Caenorhabditis elegans: one gene and its partner. The protein of the gene in region 2 interacts with the protein of the main gene of each other region in a pairwise test. Each region holds a gene or a part of one and is shown on either strand. Other genes may lie near its edges. The genes, in order: pph-4.1 and ppfr-4.

What was found.
Region 1: the proteins of ppfr-4 (region 2) and pph-4.1 interact in binary tests that used the Caenorhabditis elegans proteins (3 or more experiments, as listed by UniProt).

Annotation. Positions count from the first base shown.
Region 1 is NC_003281.10:12,344,174-12,354,223, forward strand, and holds pph-4.1 (Serine/threonine-protein phosphatase 4 catalytic subunit 1), read right to left. Parts: upstream 7,164-10,050; 5' UTR 7,158-7,163; coding exon 7,057-7,157; intron 7,002-7,056; coding exon 6,878-7,001; intron 6,820-6,877; coding exon 6,694-6,819; intron 6,619-6,693; coding exon 6,340-6,618; intron 4,449-6,339; coding exon 4,207-4,448; intron 1,522-4,206; coding exon 1,392-1,521; 3' UTR 1,150-1,391; downstream 1-1,149. Other genes in the region: zip-1 (BZIP domain-containing protein), read left to right, coding at 535-822; FAM172 family protein homolog Y75B8A.31, read left to right, coding at 7,475-7,651, 7,720-7,983, 8,037-8,156, 9,496-9,624. UniProt on the Caenorhabditis elegans protein: Protein phosphatase which plays an essential role in meiosis and in early embryonic mitosis.
Region 2 is NC_003281.10:2,617,505-2,624,961, reverse strand, and holds ppfr-4 (Serine/threonine-protein phosphatase 4 regulatory subunit ppfr-4), read right to left. Parts: upstream 5,027-7,457; 5' UTR 5,024-5,026; coding exon 4,832-5,023; intron 4,777-4,831; coding exon 4,353-4,776; intron 2,989-4,352; coding exon 2,621-2,988; 3' UTR 2,253-2,620; downstream 1-2,252. Other genes in the region: Y71H2B.2 (Phosphorylated adapter RNA export protein), read right to left, coding at 513-722, 1,699-1,791; Y71H2B.4 (Lipoprotein), read right to left, coding at 5,638-5,783, 5,846-5,972; Y71H2B.5 (Aminotran_5 domain-containing protein), read right to left, coding at 6,243-6,311, 6,604-6,749, 6,803-6,879. UniProt on the Caenorhabditis elegans protein: Probable regulatory subunit of serine/threonine-protein phosphatase PP4 which may play a role in meiosis and embryonic mitosis.

The DNA of each region.
Region 1 (10,050 bases), 9.7 Mb from region 2:
TTTTCTAAAAATATGAAAAATTGCCAAAATTTTAAGGCTTTTTTTTTTTGAAAAATCGAAAAAAATGTAAAAAAAACAAAACAATCCAATTTTTATCGATTTTTGATAATAAAAAACATAAGAAAAACTGGCAAAATAGCAACAAAAAAAAAGTAAAAATTTAAACTAAACAAAAAATCCAAAAACACTATCAAATATAGTTTTTTTTTAAATTTTTTCTTTTTCACGGGCTTCTGGCCTTCCTCATTGATTTTTTCGCGCTCCATTGACAATCACCCCCGCCGGACAACGTGTACTCCACACGGACAAATACATTTAGTTTTACAATCGAGCCGCGACGCGACACGCAACGCGCGCCGTAAATCTACCCCAGATATGGCCTGGCCTAATTCGGCAAAAACTCTTCCATTTCAATTTATGGAGGGAAACCAGAAATCCGTGATAAAAAACATAAGAAAAACTGGCAAAAAAACTTTAAAAAAATTTTTTTTTTGTGAAAAATCAAATTTTTTCCCCAATTCTCAACATTTTCAGGCCTTCAACAAAACCGAACAGGACTACGGACAATACACGAGTGTCAAAAAAATCGCAGGACTACCTCAAAATACGTTTGCTTCGAAAAAATCCCGTGCGAAGACGGCTTTCGAGATCGCCGACCATCAGTTGAATCTCAAAAAGGAGGAGGTTGAGCTGAGGGAGGCGAATGCGATTAAAGTGGTACTCAATCAAATCACAAGAGAACTGAACCGATACATGGATGGTGCCAAGCTTGCCGAGCAGCAGGCTTTTGATGAGAATTTCCAGCAATTTGAGCCAAGCTGAAGGATTTTTTGAGCGAAAAAAATATTAAAAAATTAAAAAATCTTTGAAAACTAGTTATTTTTATCCAAAATGTTATATTTAAAGCTTCAAAAATCCATTTTTTTCTCAATTTCTCACCGACCAATCAGCGACTTTGAACTCCGCCCACTCCGCCCACTCCACCTGATTGGTCGCAGCTTTCCCATTTTATCCAATCAATTGTATTTTACTTCGATTTTTTCTGTGAAAAATTCCATTTTCATGTTTTATTTTTTTCCCATTTCTCACTCCCCAAATACGGTTAATTGTTTTTTTTTGTTTCAAATCAAATCGGTTTTAAAAATGAATAGCATGAAATAAATTTTAATACTTTTTTTTGTCGAAAAAAAAATAAATCCGTAAAATTTGGAGGGGGGTGGACATTTACAGAAAAATGTGTGTGTGTGTGTGGAAAATAATAATTAAATATTGAAATATTTTTGTGGGAGCAAAAAAAAAAGGAAAAAAATGGTGTTTCGGCGATATAAAAGGGGGAGATTCTTCGGAATTTTTGGGCGAGAAAGAAATTTCGAGAAAATTTCGAGAAAAAATTAGAGGAAATAGTCGGCGTGCGGTTTTTTGGCCGGTGCTCCGCGATTTTCTTGTGGAGCAGCTTCGAAAATTGTGAATTCCTTGTTGAGATTCTCGTCGAGCTCGAGAATTGCCGCCACGTTGCCGCATCTGGAAAATTTTCATTAAGTTTTTTTTTACTGCAAAAAAAGCTCAAGTTTTCCGGGAAATTCAATTTTTCTTTTGAAACAAATTTTTGGGTTTGATCTACAAAAAATGCGGGATTTTTTTGTCCAAAAAATGTGACGTCAACACGTTCTTAATCATGCAAAATCAGTGCGTCACTTCTCCCGCATTTTTGTAGATCAAACCGAAATGGGACACTCTGGCACTACGTGATTTTGGCGGGAAAATTTTAAATTTTCTGGAAACAAATTTTGGCGGGAAAATTTAAATTTTTTGGAAACAAATTTTGGCGGGAAAATTCAAATTTTTTGGGAACAAAGTTTGGCGGGAAAATTCAAATTTTTTGGAAACAAATTTTGGCGGGAAAATTCAAATTTTCTGGAATCAAATTTTGGCGGGAAAATTCAAATTTTCTGGAAACAAATTTTGGCGGGAAAATTTAAATTTTCTTTTAAAAACATATTTTGACGGGAAAATTCAAATTTTTTGGAAACAAATTTTGGCGGGAAGTTTAAATTTTTTTGGAAACAAATTTTGGCGGGAAAATTCAAATTTTTTGGAAACAAATTTTGGCGGGAAAATTCAAATTTTTTGGAAACAAATTTTGGCGGGAAAATTCAAATTTTTTGGAAACAAATTTTGGCGGGAAAATTCAAATTTTCTGGAATCAAATTTTGGCGGGAAAATTCAAATTTTCTGGAAACAAATTTTGGCGGGAAAATTTAAATTTTCTTTTAAAAACATATTTTGACGGGAAAATTCAAATTTTTTGGAAACAAATTTTGGCCGGAAAATTCAAATTTTTTGGAAACAAATTTTGGCGGGAAAATTCAAATTTTTTGGAAACAAATTTTGGCCGGAAAATTTGAATTTTTTGGAAACAAATTTTGGCGGGAAAATTTAAATTTTCTTTTAAAAACATATTTTGACGGGAAAATTCAAATTTTTTGGAAACAAATTTTGGCGGGAAAATTCAAATTTTTTGGAAACAAATTTTGGCGGGAAAATTCAAATTTTCTGGAAACAAATTTTGGCGGGAAAATTCAAATTTTCTGGAATCAAATTTTGGCGGGAAAATTCAAATTTTCTGGAAACAAATTTTGGCGGGAAAATTTAAATTTTCTTTTAAAAACATATTTTGACGGGAAAATTCAAATTTTTTGGAAACAAATTTTGGCGGGAAAATTCAAATTTTTTGGAAACAAATTTTGGCGGGAAAATTCAAATTTTCTGGAAACAAATTTTGGCGGGAAAATTTAAATTTTTTGGAAACAAATTTTGGCGGGAAAATTTAAATTTTCTTTTAAAAACATATTTTGACGGGAAAATTCAAATTTTTTGGAAACAAATTTTGGCGGGAAAATTCAAATTTTCTGGAAACAAATTTTGGCGGGAAAATTTAAATTTTCTTTTAAAAACATATTTTGACGGGAAAATTCAAATTTTTTGGAAACAAATTTTGGCCGGAAAATTCAAATTTTTTGGAAACAAATTTTGGCGGGAAAATTTGAATTTTTTGGAAACAAATTTTGGCGGGAAAATTTAAATTTTCTTTTAAAAACATATTTTGACGGGAAAATTCAAATTTTTTGGAAACAAATTTTGGCGGGAAAATTCAAATTTTTTGGAAACAAATTTTGGCGGGAAAATTCAAATTTTCTGGAAACAAATTTTGGCGGGAAAATTTAAATTTTCTTTTAAAAACATATTTTGACGGGAAAATTCAAATTTTTTGGAAACAAATTTTGGCGGGAAGTGTAAATTTTTTTGGAAACAAATTTTGGCGGGAAAATTCAAATTTTTTGGAAACAAATTTTGGCGGGAAAATTCAAATTTTTTGGAAACAAATTTTGGCGGGAAAATTCAAATTTTTTGGAAACAAATTTTGGCGGGAAAATTCAAATTTTTTGGAAACAAATTTTGGCGGGAAAATTCAAATTTTCTGGAATCAAATTTTGGCGGGAAAATTCAAATTTTCTGGAAACAAATTTTGGCGGGAAAATTTAAATTTTCTGGAAACAAATTTTGGCGGGAAAATTCAAATTTTCTGGAAACAAATTTTGGCGGGAAAATTTAAATTTTCTTTTAAAAACATATTTTGACGGGAAAATTCAAATTTTTTGGAAACAAATTTTGGCCGGAAAATTCAAATTTTTTGGAAACAAATTTTGGCGGGAAAATTCAAATTTTTTGGAAACAAATTTTGGCGGGAAAATTTAAATTTTTTGGAAACAAATTTTGGCGGGAAAATTCAAATTTTCTGGAAACAAATTTTGGCGGGAAAATTTAAATTTTCTTTTAAAAACATATTTTGACGGGAAAATTCAAATTTTTTGGAAACAAATTTTGGCCGGAAAATTCAAATTTTTTGGAAACAAATTTTGGCGGGAAAATTCAAATTTTTTGGAAACAAATTTTGGCGGGAAAATTCAAATTTTTTGGAAACAAATTTTGGCCGGAAAATTTGAATTTTTTTGGAATCAAATTTTGGCGGGAAAATTTAAATTTTTTGGAAACAAATTTTAGCGGGAAAATTCAAATTTTCAGAAAAAAATTGTATTTTTTCCTAAAAATTATACTTTAAATGATAAAAAAGTGACCAAAAATTTTAATTTTTCGTCTTTTTCACGAAAAAAAAATTTCCGTTTTTTTTCCAAATCCATCCCGTACCGATAACAATAGTTGGGCGCCGACCAAACAGTGAGCACTTTCTCGTTGAAATGCCATTTATATCCTTCCATAACCAATTGATGAGCTCTACAGATCAAATCGACTCCGTTCGTTTCGCAAAACGTTTTCGACGCGTCCGCTCCGAATAGATAACCGGCTCCGCGTGGACTTAGGCCCCATCCAACATTTCCTTCTTCGGGGTCCGACCACAGTAGATCACACATTGGACCGTCGTGGGGAACCTGGAAATTTTCAGAATTTTTTTTCGCTTTTTTAGCACAAATTTATACGTTTTTCTATCAAAACGAACAAAATTTGATTAAAAAATTGATTTTTTTTTCAATTTTTGAGGCGGAACGGTGGTTTTGCAAACCTGCGGCGCGGTTTGATTTCTGTCGATTTACGGTGGAGTTTGTGCTACACGTGGATAAGCGTTTTTTTTTTTTTTTCGAATTGTTCTTCAGTTCTGTAATTTTTTTTGTAAACACTATTCAAAAAATATATATATATGGACCCAATTTTTAATGTTGAACACCAAAAAAAATTGGCAAAAATGGCCCAAAACTGTAAATTTACTATTAGAAAAAATTAAAAAATTAATCGACGCTTGTCCGTGTGTATTACAAAATTCTCCGTAAATCGAAATATAGCAAACCGCAGACTTGCAAAACCTTCGCCCCGCTGGAAAAAAGTGATTTCTCGAAAAATTTAACGTAAATTTTGAAATTTCGCTTCAAAATATCCGAAATAGTATCAAATTCAGAAAAATAAAAAGATTTTTCAATTTTGAATTCCCTCCAAAATGAGAACTCAAACTCCGCCCACTCCATCTGATTGGTTGAAAAGTGGGCGGAGCGAATCGCTGATTGGTTGAAGACAAAAATCGCGTTTTTGTGGTTTTTTTCTGATTTTGAGACTATTTTTTGAATTTTTTAGTATTTTTCGGGGAAAAAATCGAAATAAATGAAATAAAAATTAAATTGGTCGATTTTGATGAGAAAAAATTAGAAAAAAGTCTGAAAATTAAAAAAAAAAATTTTTAATGAAAAAAACGGAAATTTTTTTTTAAACGGAAATTTTCGGAAATTTGCCGATTTTCTGGTTATTTTCATTTTCGGCAATTTGCCGATTTGCCAGAAAATTTTAATTCCGGAAATTTGTCGATTTGACGGTTATTTTCATGATCGACAAATTGCCGATTTGCCAGAAAATCTTAATTCCGGAAATTTGCCGGAAATTATCAATTCCAGCAATTTGCCGATTTGCCAGAAATTTTCATTTTCGGCAGTTTGTCGATTTGCCGGAAATTTTTAATTCCGGCAATTTGCCGTTTTTCCGGCGAATTCGGCAAATTTCCGACTTGCCGGAAATTTTTAAATTCCGGCAATTTGCCGATTTGCCGGAAATTATCAATTCCAGCAATTTGCCGATTTGCCGGAAATTATCAATTCCAGCAATTTGCCGATTTGCCGGAAATTTTTAATTCCGGCAATTTGCCGTTTTTCCGGCGAATTCGGCAAATTTCCGACTTGCCGGAAATTTTTAAATTCCGGCAATTTGACGAATTGCCGGAAATTTTCAATTTCGGCAATTTTCCGATTTGCCGAAAATTTTTAAACATGGCAATTTTCCGATTTGCCAGAAATTTTTAATTACGGCAATTTGCCGATTTGCCGGAATTTTTTAATTCCGGCAATTTTTCGATTTGCCGGAAATTTTCAATTTCGCCAATTTGCCACAAATTTTTTAATTCGAACATTTGCCGATTTGCCAGAAAATTTTAATTCCGGCAATTTGTCGATTTGCCGGTTATTTTCATTTTCGGCAATTTGTCGATTTGCCAGAAAGTTTCATTACGGCAGTTTGTCGATTTGCCAGAAATTTTTAATTCCGGCAATTTGTCGATTTGCCGGTTATTTTCATTTTGGGCAAATTTGCCGGTTTGCTGATTTGCCGGAAATTTTTAAATTCCGGCAATTTGCAGATTTGTCGGTTATTTTCATTTTCGAAAATTTTAAAACTTTCCGGCAAATTCGGCAAAATGCCGGAAATTTAAAAAATTGTAATTCACCGAATTTTAACCGAAATTCAAAGCAAAATTCCATTAAAAACAGCATATTTTTTGCGTTTTACCTCCTGCTTCCGATCAATAACACGAATCTGATCCATAGTACTAATCGACGGGGATAATCCACCATGAACACAGAAAACCTTCCCATCAATTACAGCGGCAAGTGATAAGTAGTCGAAAACTTCGGTACAATGTTTCCAAACAGACGCATTTCCATATTTCCGAAGGCATTCATCATAGAACCCGTAGACTTGAGTAATCTGGCGACTTTCGTGATTTCCACGGATCAACATCATTCGATCCGGATAGCGAGCTTTCAGTGCGAGAAGTAGAAGGAATGTCTGGAAAAATATCGATTTTTTGGGAGTTTTTTTTGCAATTTTTTCGCCAGGAAAATTGCAAAAAAGCGGGGGCACCTCCACAGAATAGAAGCCTCGATCCACGAAATCTCCGAGGAACAAATAGTTGGTGTTCGGCACTGGTCCGCCGACTTTGAAGAGCTCCATTAAATCGTAGAACTGGCCGTGGATGTCTCCGCAGATCTGGAAATAGAATTTAAAATGGAAATTTTGATTTAAAAATCGATTTTATCCAACCAACCGTCACCGGAGAATCGATAACCTGGACGTTGCCCTCTTCCGCTAGGATTTCACGAGCTTTTGCGCAAAGTGTTTTGACATCTTGCTCCGCGATGAGCTCACATCTCATCAGCTTTTCTATGTGGCTGAAAATATTTTTTTTTTGTTGATATTTTATTGTTTTTATATCAAAACTGCTACCGATCCAAGTCATGAGTTGTTAGCTGGTCCGATGGGCCGGAAGTCGGTGAGTCGACACGTGAAAATGTGGAATTTGCAGAGTCGGTGCACGCCAGAGCCATTAAAAGCTGTAAAATACGTTGTAAATCGATTTTTTGAATTAATATTTAATTTAAAAACGAAAAAACGAAAAAAACCAATGAAAACAGGCGAAATCGACTTTAAATCCAGAGTTTTTCGTGCAAAAATATAAATTCAGTGTAATATTGGCATTGTGCCAGATTGCCAACAGAGCGCGATTGCGCCGTGTGGACGAGAGAAACCTCGGTCGCGGCCAGGAAATTTTTTTTTTTTTTTAATTTTAAAAATTGTTTTTTCGGAAATTTTCTCTGTTCTAACCAGTTTTTTTGCGAATAATTCAAATAAATTTCAGTGAACAATGTCAAGTTTGGCGAAACTCGGGTACTTTTTCGACGAAAAAGGCGTGCTGAAAACGGAGAAGGACAAAAAACCCTTCAAATTCACTACACAGGAGGATTATGAAGAACTGGGAGAAGCAGTTGATCTGGAAGTTTATGAGCTTCTGGAGACACGTTGTGGGCTGAAGAGAAAGGCGGTAAATTAAGAAATTTTTAAAAAATGGAAAAAAAAATTTAAAAATCAAAAAAAAAAATTTTTTTTCAGCTAAAACTTCCAGGAAAAACCGACGAGGATGAGGATCTAAGCTTCATTTTTGTGTCGAAAAATTTCAAAAAAGCTGCAAATCTTCTAGTATTGATCCACGGAAGCGGTGTCGTCAGAGCCGGACAATGGGCTCGTAGACTCATTATCAATGATAATTTGGAGTGTGGAACTCAGATTCCGTATATCGAAAGAGCTATTGAAAATGGATGGGGTGTTGTGGTGATGAACACTAATTTGAATGAAAGTAAAGATCAGGATTTGAAGGTGTGAAAAAACCCGGGAAATTTCGAAAAATTCGCTGAAAAATCGATTTTCAGTACTCCCGCACACCTGTCGAGCACGCTGAAACTGTCTGGATAGCGTGTATTGAGCCATCGAATGCTAAGAGCATCTACGTGGTGGCTCACAGTCGTGGTGGTTACGACACAGCCAGTGTGGTGGGATTTTCAGCACTTTTTTGGCAAAAAAAAGCGAAAAAATCGATGTTTTTCCGATTTTTCAAGGCGAAAATCCCTGTTTTTCTGAATTTTTTAAAGGAAAATGCAATTTTAATCTATTTTCAGCTTTTTTTTTGGCAAAAAAGAGCGAAAAAACGACATATTTCCGGATTTTTAAGGCGAAAATCCCTGTTTTTCTGAATTTTTGAATAAAAATGCGATTTTAAACTGTTTTCAGCTTTTTTTTGGCTAAAAATGAACGAAAAAATTGACTTTTTCCGAATTTTTAAGCCATAAAACCCTGTTTTTCTGAGTTTTTGGATAAAAATGCGATTTTAAACTGTTTTCAGCACTTTTTTTTTGGCAAAAAAGAGTGAAAAAATCGACTTTTTTTTTGATTTTTTAAGGCAAAAAAACCCTGTTTTTTTGAATTTTTGAATAAAAATGGGATTTAAACTGTTTTCAGCTTTTTTTTGGCTAAAAAAGAGCGAAAAAACGACTTTTCTCCGATTTTTTAAGGCAAAAATCCCTGTTTTTCTGATTTTTTTAAAGGAAAATGCAATTTTAATATATTTTCAGCTTTTTTTTTGGCAAAAAAAGCGAAAAAACGACATATTTCCGGATTTTTAAGGCGAAAATCCCTGTTTTTCTGAATTTTTTGAATAAAAATGGGATTTTAAACTATTTTCAGCTTTTTTTGGCGAAAAATCGACATTTTCGCGATTTTTTAAGGCAAAAACCCCTGTTTCAGGTCTCGCCACGACAAAATTGTGTTCAAGGAATAAGAAAAAAAGGTATGCGCCTTTAAAGATTACTGTAATTTCTAATTTTTGTTTCTGTGAAATTTATCGAGTTTTCGTAGTTTTTCTAAATAAAAATATTTTTTAATCTTTTGAAAAAAAATCGAAAAAAATTTTTTTAATTTAGTTTTCGCGATTTTTTTTAAATTTTTTCGATTAAAAAATATTTTTATTTAGAAAAACTACGAAAAATCGATAAATTTCACAGAAACTAAAATTTAAAACTACAGTACTCTTTAAAGGCGCACACTTTTTTGTATTCAACAAAAATTTGTCGCTTCGAGACCCAAAATTGAGGAAAACATGGAATTTTGCCTTAAAAACCCCGTTTTTTCGCTTTTTTTTTGCCGAAAAAAGTCCTGAAATCTGTTTTCAAATTTAAAAACAGCGGAAAATAGTTAAAAATGCATTTTTATTCGAAAAAAAATCGTGTGAAAAATTAAATTACAGTACTCTTTAAAGGCGCACACATTTTTCTATTTAACAAAAATTTGTCGCGTCGAGACCCGCCAAAATCATATAATTTCATTAAATTTCAGCTCAAAAAGTTTGGCGGAGACGATCGTATTTCGAAAATCTGTCTCACTGATTCTCCATGGTTCGAATTTCCGAAAAGTTGTGCACAACGGGCACGTCCATTGTTTGTCGTCAATTTCTTGGCTCACGGGGTAGTTATAAGGACGCAGAAAACGCGCTCCACGGGCAATTGAAGTCTCGTTAAGAATTTGGCGGAAAAATCGGGAATTCAGACCGGTTTTTCGACCAAAAACCTAACGAGACCCATGGTTCGTGGGTGGAGCGTTTCTTATTATCCGTGGAGCGCGTTTTCACGTTTCAATAATATACCGTATTTCCTCTATTAGTCTTGCATGCAAGACTAATTTTCAATTGACCCGTAGGGGTGCAAGACTATTAGAGGCTGCAAGACTAATTTTCGAAGATCCAATAGCTTTGTAAAATTTACCATTCATCGTCAAAAATTAGACATGAAACAGTCAAAATCGTACAATATATATATATATTTATATTATTTTATCTATTATTTGAACACTTTAAAATTTAATTTAGCTAAAAACTGGCAAAATTGTTGAAGT
Region 2 (7,457 bases):
AATTTTTCAACAAATTTTTTTTTGAAAATTAGTTTTTTTTTTTTTGGTCTGCTTCTTTTTTTTAATCGGAAAATTCAGAAATCAAGCACATTTTTTAAAGATTTTCAGAATAAAAAAAAATAATTCGAGAAAAAAACACGAGTTTGGAATAATTTGCAGTGATTTTTCCAAAATTTCAGTTTTTCTTGTAATTTTACTGCAATTTTTTCTCAAAATTTTAAAAACTGAGCAGAAAATGTTGGTTTTCGTAGCTTTTTGCTAGAAAACTAGTTTTTTTAGAATTTTTAAATTAAATTCAATTATTTTTCTGACAATTAATATACATTCATTTTCAAAAATTGCTTTTTACTGCAATTTTTCCAAAAAAAAAAAAAGGCAACATTTTTTTTTTAAATTAAATTATTTTTTCAAAAAAAGCAGCTGAAAACACCAATTTTGCGCATTTTTCTGATAATTTTTGCCAGAAAATCGCATTTTTTCCAATAAAATCCCAGAAATTCAAGCTTCCTCACATCGAACACCTCATTCTTTTTCTTTTGATTAGCATTTCTCGATTGTTTCCGCTGAAATTCGTCCTGTGGCATCAAATAAGATTCAGGACCACGTGAAACATTTGGCTGCTTTCTTGATGTTCGATCCAAATTAATTTGTTGACCTTTTTCGAGAAGTTGCTCCTCGAGCAACATATCTGACCACATGTTTTTCGACTTTTTTGCCGGTTCCTGGAAATTTTTTTAATATTTTTCAATAATTATTTACAATTTTCGGGTATTTTTCTTTGTTTCAAAAAATTATATTAATCGTATTTTCTATTTAAAAAATGAAATTAATTTTTTTCCGATTTTTTAATTAATAAATTGATAATTTCTGATTTAGCTTTAAAAAAAATCAAATTTTCGGTCTATTTTCTTAATTTTTGAGAGAAACTTAAGCTTTGAAAATTTGAAAATAATTTTTTCAAAGTAGAAATTTCTCTCAAAAAAATTAGAAAATAGACCGAAAATTAGATTTTTGATTATTTTTAACACTAAATCAAAATTATCAATTTATTAATTAAAACATTGAGAAAAAAATAATTAAAACCGGTTTTTTTTAATAGAATGTTTTTTTATTTTACTCTTCAGTTCCTGTTATTTGTATAACTCTTTTTTTCAGTTTTTTTTTGAGTGAAATTCAATAAAGCTAGTTTTTAAGCGCTTTTTTCGAATTTTTTCAAGTTTTTAATCGAAAAATCGCCAAAAAAATTGAGGAAAATTGCTAAAATTTTATCGGAAATACATTTTTTAAGAAAAATCTTTTTTTTTTTCAAAAAATTGAGTAAGAATGTAAAAAATGGATATTTTCTCAGAATTTTGAAGACAAAAGTAGCTTTTTGCCGATTTTTCGATTAAAAATTGAAAAAAAAAAGTTTTGATTTTTTCTGAAAAGAAACTGTTCTAAAAAATTTTTATTTTCTGAAAAATCCGAAAAAAGTGCTTAAAATCTTGTTTTATTGAATTTTTTACAAAAAAGTTTCAAAATTTCGTCAAAAATAGTTTTTTTTAAGAGAAAATCCGAATTGTGAAACTTTTTCTTGATTTTTTCGGTTTTTTTTTAATCAAAAATCGAAATTTGTTACGAAAATGGTTAGTTTTTGCCAATTTTTTCATTTTCAAGGTAGAAAATCCCCGATTTTCAGCCAAAAATCGTGCTCCTTACAGCTTTCAGATCCTCATCTTCATCTTTATTGATCGGAAGTCTCTCTTCATCGGAATCTCCTTCCGAATCGTGACGACGCTTACGGAATGCCATTCTGAAATTTTTTTTTTCTGAAAATCTGAAAAATATTTTGGAACTTATGTATAAAAAAGGTAAAAACCCTTTAAAAATGCAAAAAAAAATATAATAAAATATAATTATTTACAGTTTCACATTTATTCGAAACGAAAATAAGACGCCGTATAAAAATGTCGATTTACGCGGCTCGTGAACTCCCCGAAGTGAAGGGAACTTTTTTTTGGAAAAATCCGATTTTTTTTTTGAAAAAAACTCTTGCTAAAATCCGCAATTTTTATGGAAAATTTTGAGAATTTTCAGGAAATTCGGCGAATTTTTTTTTGAGACTTCTTAGTGAAAAATCCTCAATTTTTTGAATTTTCCCAAAAAAAAACCAGTGATTTTTGAGAATTTCAAAGAGAACACCGCGGTTTTATTGAATTTTTTCAGAATTTTCAAAAAAACGCAAATTTTCAAGTTTTTTGAAAGAAATATCTGAAATATCTCTATTTGAATAATTTATTTTTCAAAATTTTCGAAAAACCTGGAATTTTTTGAAATTTCCAGAAAACCGCAATTTTATTGATTTTTTTCTAGAAAAATATCGTAAAAAACGGATAATTGCAGATTTTCGCGGAAAAAATTTTCAATAATTTTATCAAAAAATTTTTTCCCATAAAAACTGCAATTTTTTTTTAATTCTCAAAATAATCCGCCGAAAATTGCCAATTCTGCAATTTTTCCATTCAAAAAATGCAGATTTTTCAAAATTTTTCGCCTTCTCCTCGTGAAGTACACAAGCCGCGTAAATCGACACATGCGGGAGCTAGGAATCCCGCGTAAAAGTAGAGATCTACAATATAATTTATCCTTTATTGTGCATATTTCCCCATCCACGTCGATGATCATCCTTATATTCATCCCAACGCATCGCCTTCGCTCTCGCCTCGTCATCATCAACCTCTTCTTCGGATTCTTGAGCTTCTGCCCCGGCTGGAGCCGACGATTGTGGAGCATTTTGTGGATTATGACCGAATTTCTGATGATACCATTCATCGACACTCATCGCTGGAATTCCTGGATATCCGAGCCCAAAGACCTGCTTCTGTTGAGCATCTCTGGTAATAATGAAGGGTTTAAGTGTTGGAACTGTCTTTGTTGCTGGTGGTGGAGCTGGATGACGATGTGGGTGAGATGCTCGTTCAGCCATCATTTTCAGCAGTGGAAGCTCGTCTGAAAATTGTTTTCCGTTTTTAAAAACGTCGCTTTCTGCTCTAAAAGGCTTAAAAGGCTTGGCCATGAAGAACTGAAAATTATTCAAAACTCGAAAAATTCAATTTTTCAGGGTCATTTTGAGGCTCTAAAAACTATTAAAAAACTTTTTTACTGACAGAAAATTAAAAAATTTGCAAAAAATAAAAATAATAATTAACTTATTATTTAAATTTTTTTTATTTTTTTGTTTAAAAAAATTTCGAATTTTCAATTATTCAAAAATTGGAAAAAAATTAGACAATTAACAGGAAAATTCATTTCTTTTATCAAATGTGGTTTATTTTGATTTGAAAAATCAGAAAATATATAGTTTTCTTCTACAAACAAAAAAATGACCAAAATACGACCAAATCGGAGATTTTAGCTAAATTTTGGACTTTTTTCTTGTTTGTAGAAAAAAAATGATATATTTTCTGAAGTTTTTCATCAAAATAAATTTTTTTTTCGATTTTTGAATAATTAATTTTTTTAATTCAAAAATCGAAAAAAAAATTTAGATTTATTTTGATGAAAAACTTTAGAAAATATATCTTTTTTTTCTACAAACAAGAAAAAAGTCCAAAATTTAGCGGAAATCTCCGATTTGGTCGTGATTTGATCATTTTTTTGTTTGTAGAAGAAAACTATATATTTTCTGATTTTTCAAATCAAAATAAACCAGATTTGATAAAAGAAATGAATTTTCCTGTTAATTGTCTAATTTTTTTCCAATTTTTGAATAATTGAAAATTCGAAATTTTTTTTACAACTTTCTAATTTTAAAGGAGTTTTGCAAAAATTTAAAAAATGAGTTAATTATTATTTTTCCTTTTTTTGCTTTTTTTTTAATTGTCTGTGGGTAAAAACGAATTTTATAGCTCTTAGAGCCTCAAAATGACCCTGAAAATTGAATTTTTCGATTTTTTAAAATAATAGTTTAAAAAAATTACAAAAAATCTTTAAAAAGCAGCGTCGCACAGAAAAATAGTTTTTTTCTCGAATAAAAGATCATAATTTGAACATATTTGCTGTTTTTCTGTGTTTTGGTTACCATTCGTCTGGAAACATCGTTAAATTAATGAAAAAATGTGCGAAATCCGGAAGTTTAGCTAAATTTAGCCATTTTTCTCCTTATTTTCCATGAAATTCGGCATTTCGAAGCCATTTTGAGCATTTTTAGAGCAACAAAACGATTTTTCAAGCAAAAATTCCAGTTTTCTTCGAGTTCTCAGAAAAAAAATATGATAACATTGCGTTTTTCTGCCAGAAAATCACATTAATTCCGATTTTTCGTGATTTTTAAAAATAATTTTTCCATGGAAACTAGGCGATATTCTACACACCATCAATCGCCTGCAACTCCTCGTAACATCTTTCACTCCAGAACAATAACTGAGTAATATAGAGCTCTCTGAGATTCTGCTCATCAATTGAAACGGCTTCCAGCTGCTTTTGGATCCTGAGCTCCGCCATTTTGAGCTCTTGCTTCTTCTTGTGACGCTCCAACTTCAATCTTCTGATCTCTTCAACTGCAAGCTTCGGCTTCTCCTTTAAATTTTGCTCTTCTGTATCCTCATCTTCCCATGGTAATCTGGTGGTGATCAGGCACAAATCTCGGAGGCGATCCAGAAAATTTCGCATATAAATTTTGGATTTTCTCAGTTCGTCGAGCTTCAGGCCGGGCTCAGTCATCAAATTTTGGTGGAGAATTCCCAAAAAACATGGGACAAGGAGATAGGGCAGCGAGTTTGTTGGAACGTCTTCAATCTGAAAAAAAATCATTTAATTTCAGAAATAATCTTTTTTTTTTTCGATAAAAAACCTGCTCATTCGACGAAAACAATCTCATCTGATTCACAAGCTTCGTGACCAACTGGAGATTATCAATTCCCGTTTTGATGCGAGGTTGGAGCTCCGGGGTGGAAAAAATCCCATCTTCAATATCGCCGATCACCTTTTTGCTCGGATCGTAAAGCGCTTGCAAGGAAATTTCTTCATCTGATAGCTCTGACATGCTCTGAAATTTAAATAATCAATTTTTAATTGAACAAACGAGGAAAAATTCAGGTTTCGCAGAGAAAACCCGTTTTCAGTGAGCGAAAATTTTTCAATAAACAAAACGAAAATAGAAAACACCCGATTTGACGACACTTGTGCAAACACCCTCACGCAATATTGCACAGATTTCTGAAAAAACAATTTTTTGTTTTTTTCTGGAACACATTTTACAACTTTTCAGACGGAATTTTCGGTTTTTTATCGAAATTTATGGAGAAAACGTTCAAAAAAACTCAAATTTGCTTGTTTTTAAAGGGTTTTTATGGGAAATCGTGTCATTTTTCCTTTAACAACGGAAAAACAATTCAAACACTGTCAAAATGACCAAAAATCATATTTAATAAAACGTTCAAAATGTTTCGGAAAACGCTTTATTTCGAGTCAAAAAGTGGAGAAACTCGTTTTTTTGAAAGTCTTCGATTATGGCCGCAGAGGCTCAAAAAGTGGCGCAAAATCACTTTTCCCGCGCGAAATTTGAAAAATTATCTCAAAAAAGAAGAAAATCGCCGAAAATTTAGTCTAAAAAATTGGCTTTATTGGAAAAAAATTAAAACATCAAAATCCAATTATTTAATAGACTTTATCGTTCTTGAGCAGCTTCTCCGGGAAGCATCTCTTGAGGCACTCAACAGTGAAGCAGCAGACATCATCCTTCGGGAATTCCTTGTACGAGCAGTTGTTCTTCATGGCACAGCACGCGGATTTGTAGGTGCTATCTGAAATTAATTATGAATCTTTTGAAACAAAACACAAAAAATCAATAAATAAAAAAACTTACAATCCTCAACAGTGCATGGGGATTGCTCCAAGCCGTAACGGCAGAACATATTCATATATTTATCGAAATTCTTGCATGACGAGGCGAAGGAAACGAGGAGAACGAGGAAAATCAAGGCGATCCGCATTCCGGCGGCAGACTGGCTCGGAGCTTTGGAGCTTTGGAGCTTGAGAGCTTTGAGCCGGCTTCCGATGGAACAGCTGACTAACTTTTTACTCACTTTTTCATCAATGTGTCAGTTGTCGGTTTTATTTTTGAAAGTTTTTATTCAACAAACCAAAACATCAAAAAAACATTCAAACGCTCAAGGACGAATTACGATTAACATTTAACAACAAGAAAAATATTTAAATATTTTTTTTAATAGGAAAATTTTAATTTTTATAGGAAAAATTCCCTATGACATTTCCTTCACAATATTATGCACCGCCTGGCTCCGCATCACGCTGGTGTGCGCCGAATCAACCTGGAAAACATTTATTAGATTTGAAAAAAAGAGCTCAAGGGGGCTCAGAGTCCCTCTTATATTTAAATGGAAGAGTTTTCAGCTTGGGAAGCTCGGCCGCGACGCAGCTGCATGCGGAGCGGCTCAGACGAACACATTGATTTTATCATTTTCTGGTAGAAAAAAAAACAGAATCAACGTTTTTGCCTGAGCCGCTCCGCGCGCTGCTGCGTCGCGGCCGAGCTTCCCAAAACTCTGCCATTTCAAGGGACATCCCGCGTTACTAGAGCTTGAAAACCCATAAATCACCCACCAAAAGCAGTGGTTTCAGAGCAGATCTCAGTGAATTAAACAAGTCGGGGAAGATGAGCTCCTGCTGAGCCAGGAGCTGCTTGACACGGTGACGTTCGGTGGCCTGGTTGAAGCATGCCGGGCAGTTTTCCGCGACAACTGGGAGTTCTGGAAAATTATTTATTTGGAGATAAATTCAAAAAAAAAATCGCTGAAAATACTTTTATCCTCGGCGAAATTTCGTAGAGCCTTCTCGCGAACCATCACCAGCGGTCGAATGACTCGAAGAGCTCCGTCTCTGGAAAAAAATTGAAATTCCTTTTGAAATCGACGTGAAAACGCGCTCCACGGACAATTGGTAACGCTCCGCCCCCAACAGTTGGGTCTCGTTAGGAAAATTTTCAATTTTCCATCGATTTTATTGATTTTTTCGTCGAACTTATGTTATTTTATAAATTTCGGCATAAAAATTTATTAAACTAATGAAAAACGTGACAAAAACATTTGAATTTAAAGTTTTGTCTACAAATACCTAACGAGACCCGCCTGTTGGGGGCGGAGCGTATTTTTCTGGAAAATATACGATTTTTCAGTGTTTTCCAGGAAAGATCAAGTTATTTTCCCAATTTTTTGTTTTTTTGAACACGGTAGTCATTACTGTAGTTTTCGCTGCGAGATATTCTGCACAACACATTTGACGCGTAAAATATCTCGCAGCGAAAACTACAGTAATCACTACTGTAAGTGTGGATTTACGAGCTGCCGCCAAGCCCCGTAAATCGACACCTACAGTAGTCATTACTGTAGTTTTCGCTGCGAGATATTTTGCGCGTCAAATGTGTTGTGCAATACGCATTCTCAGGATTTTGAGTTCAA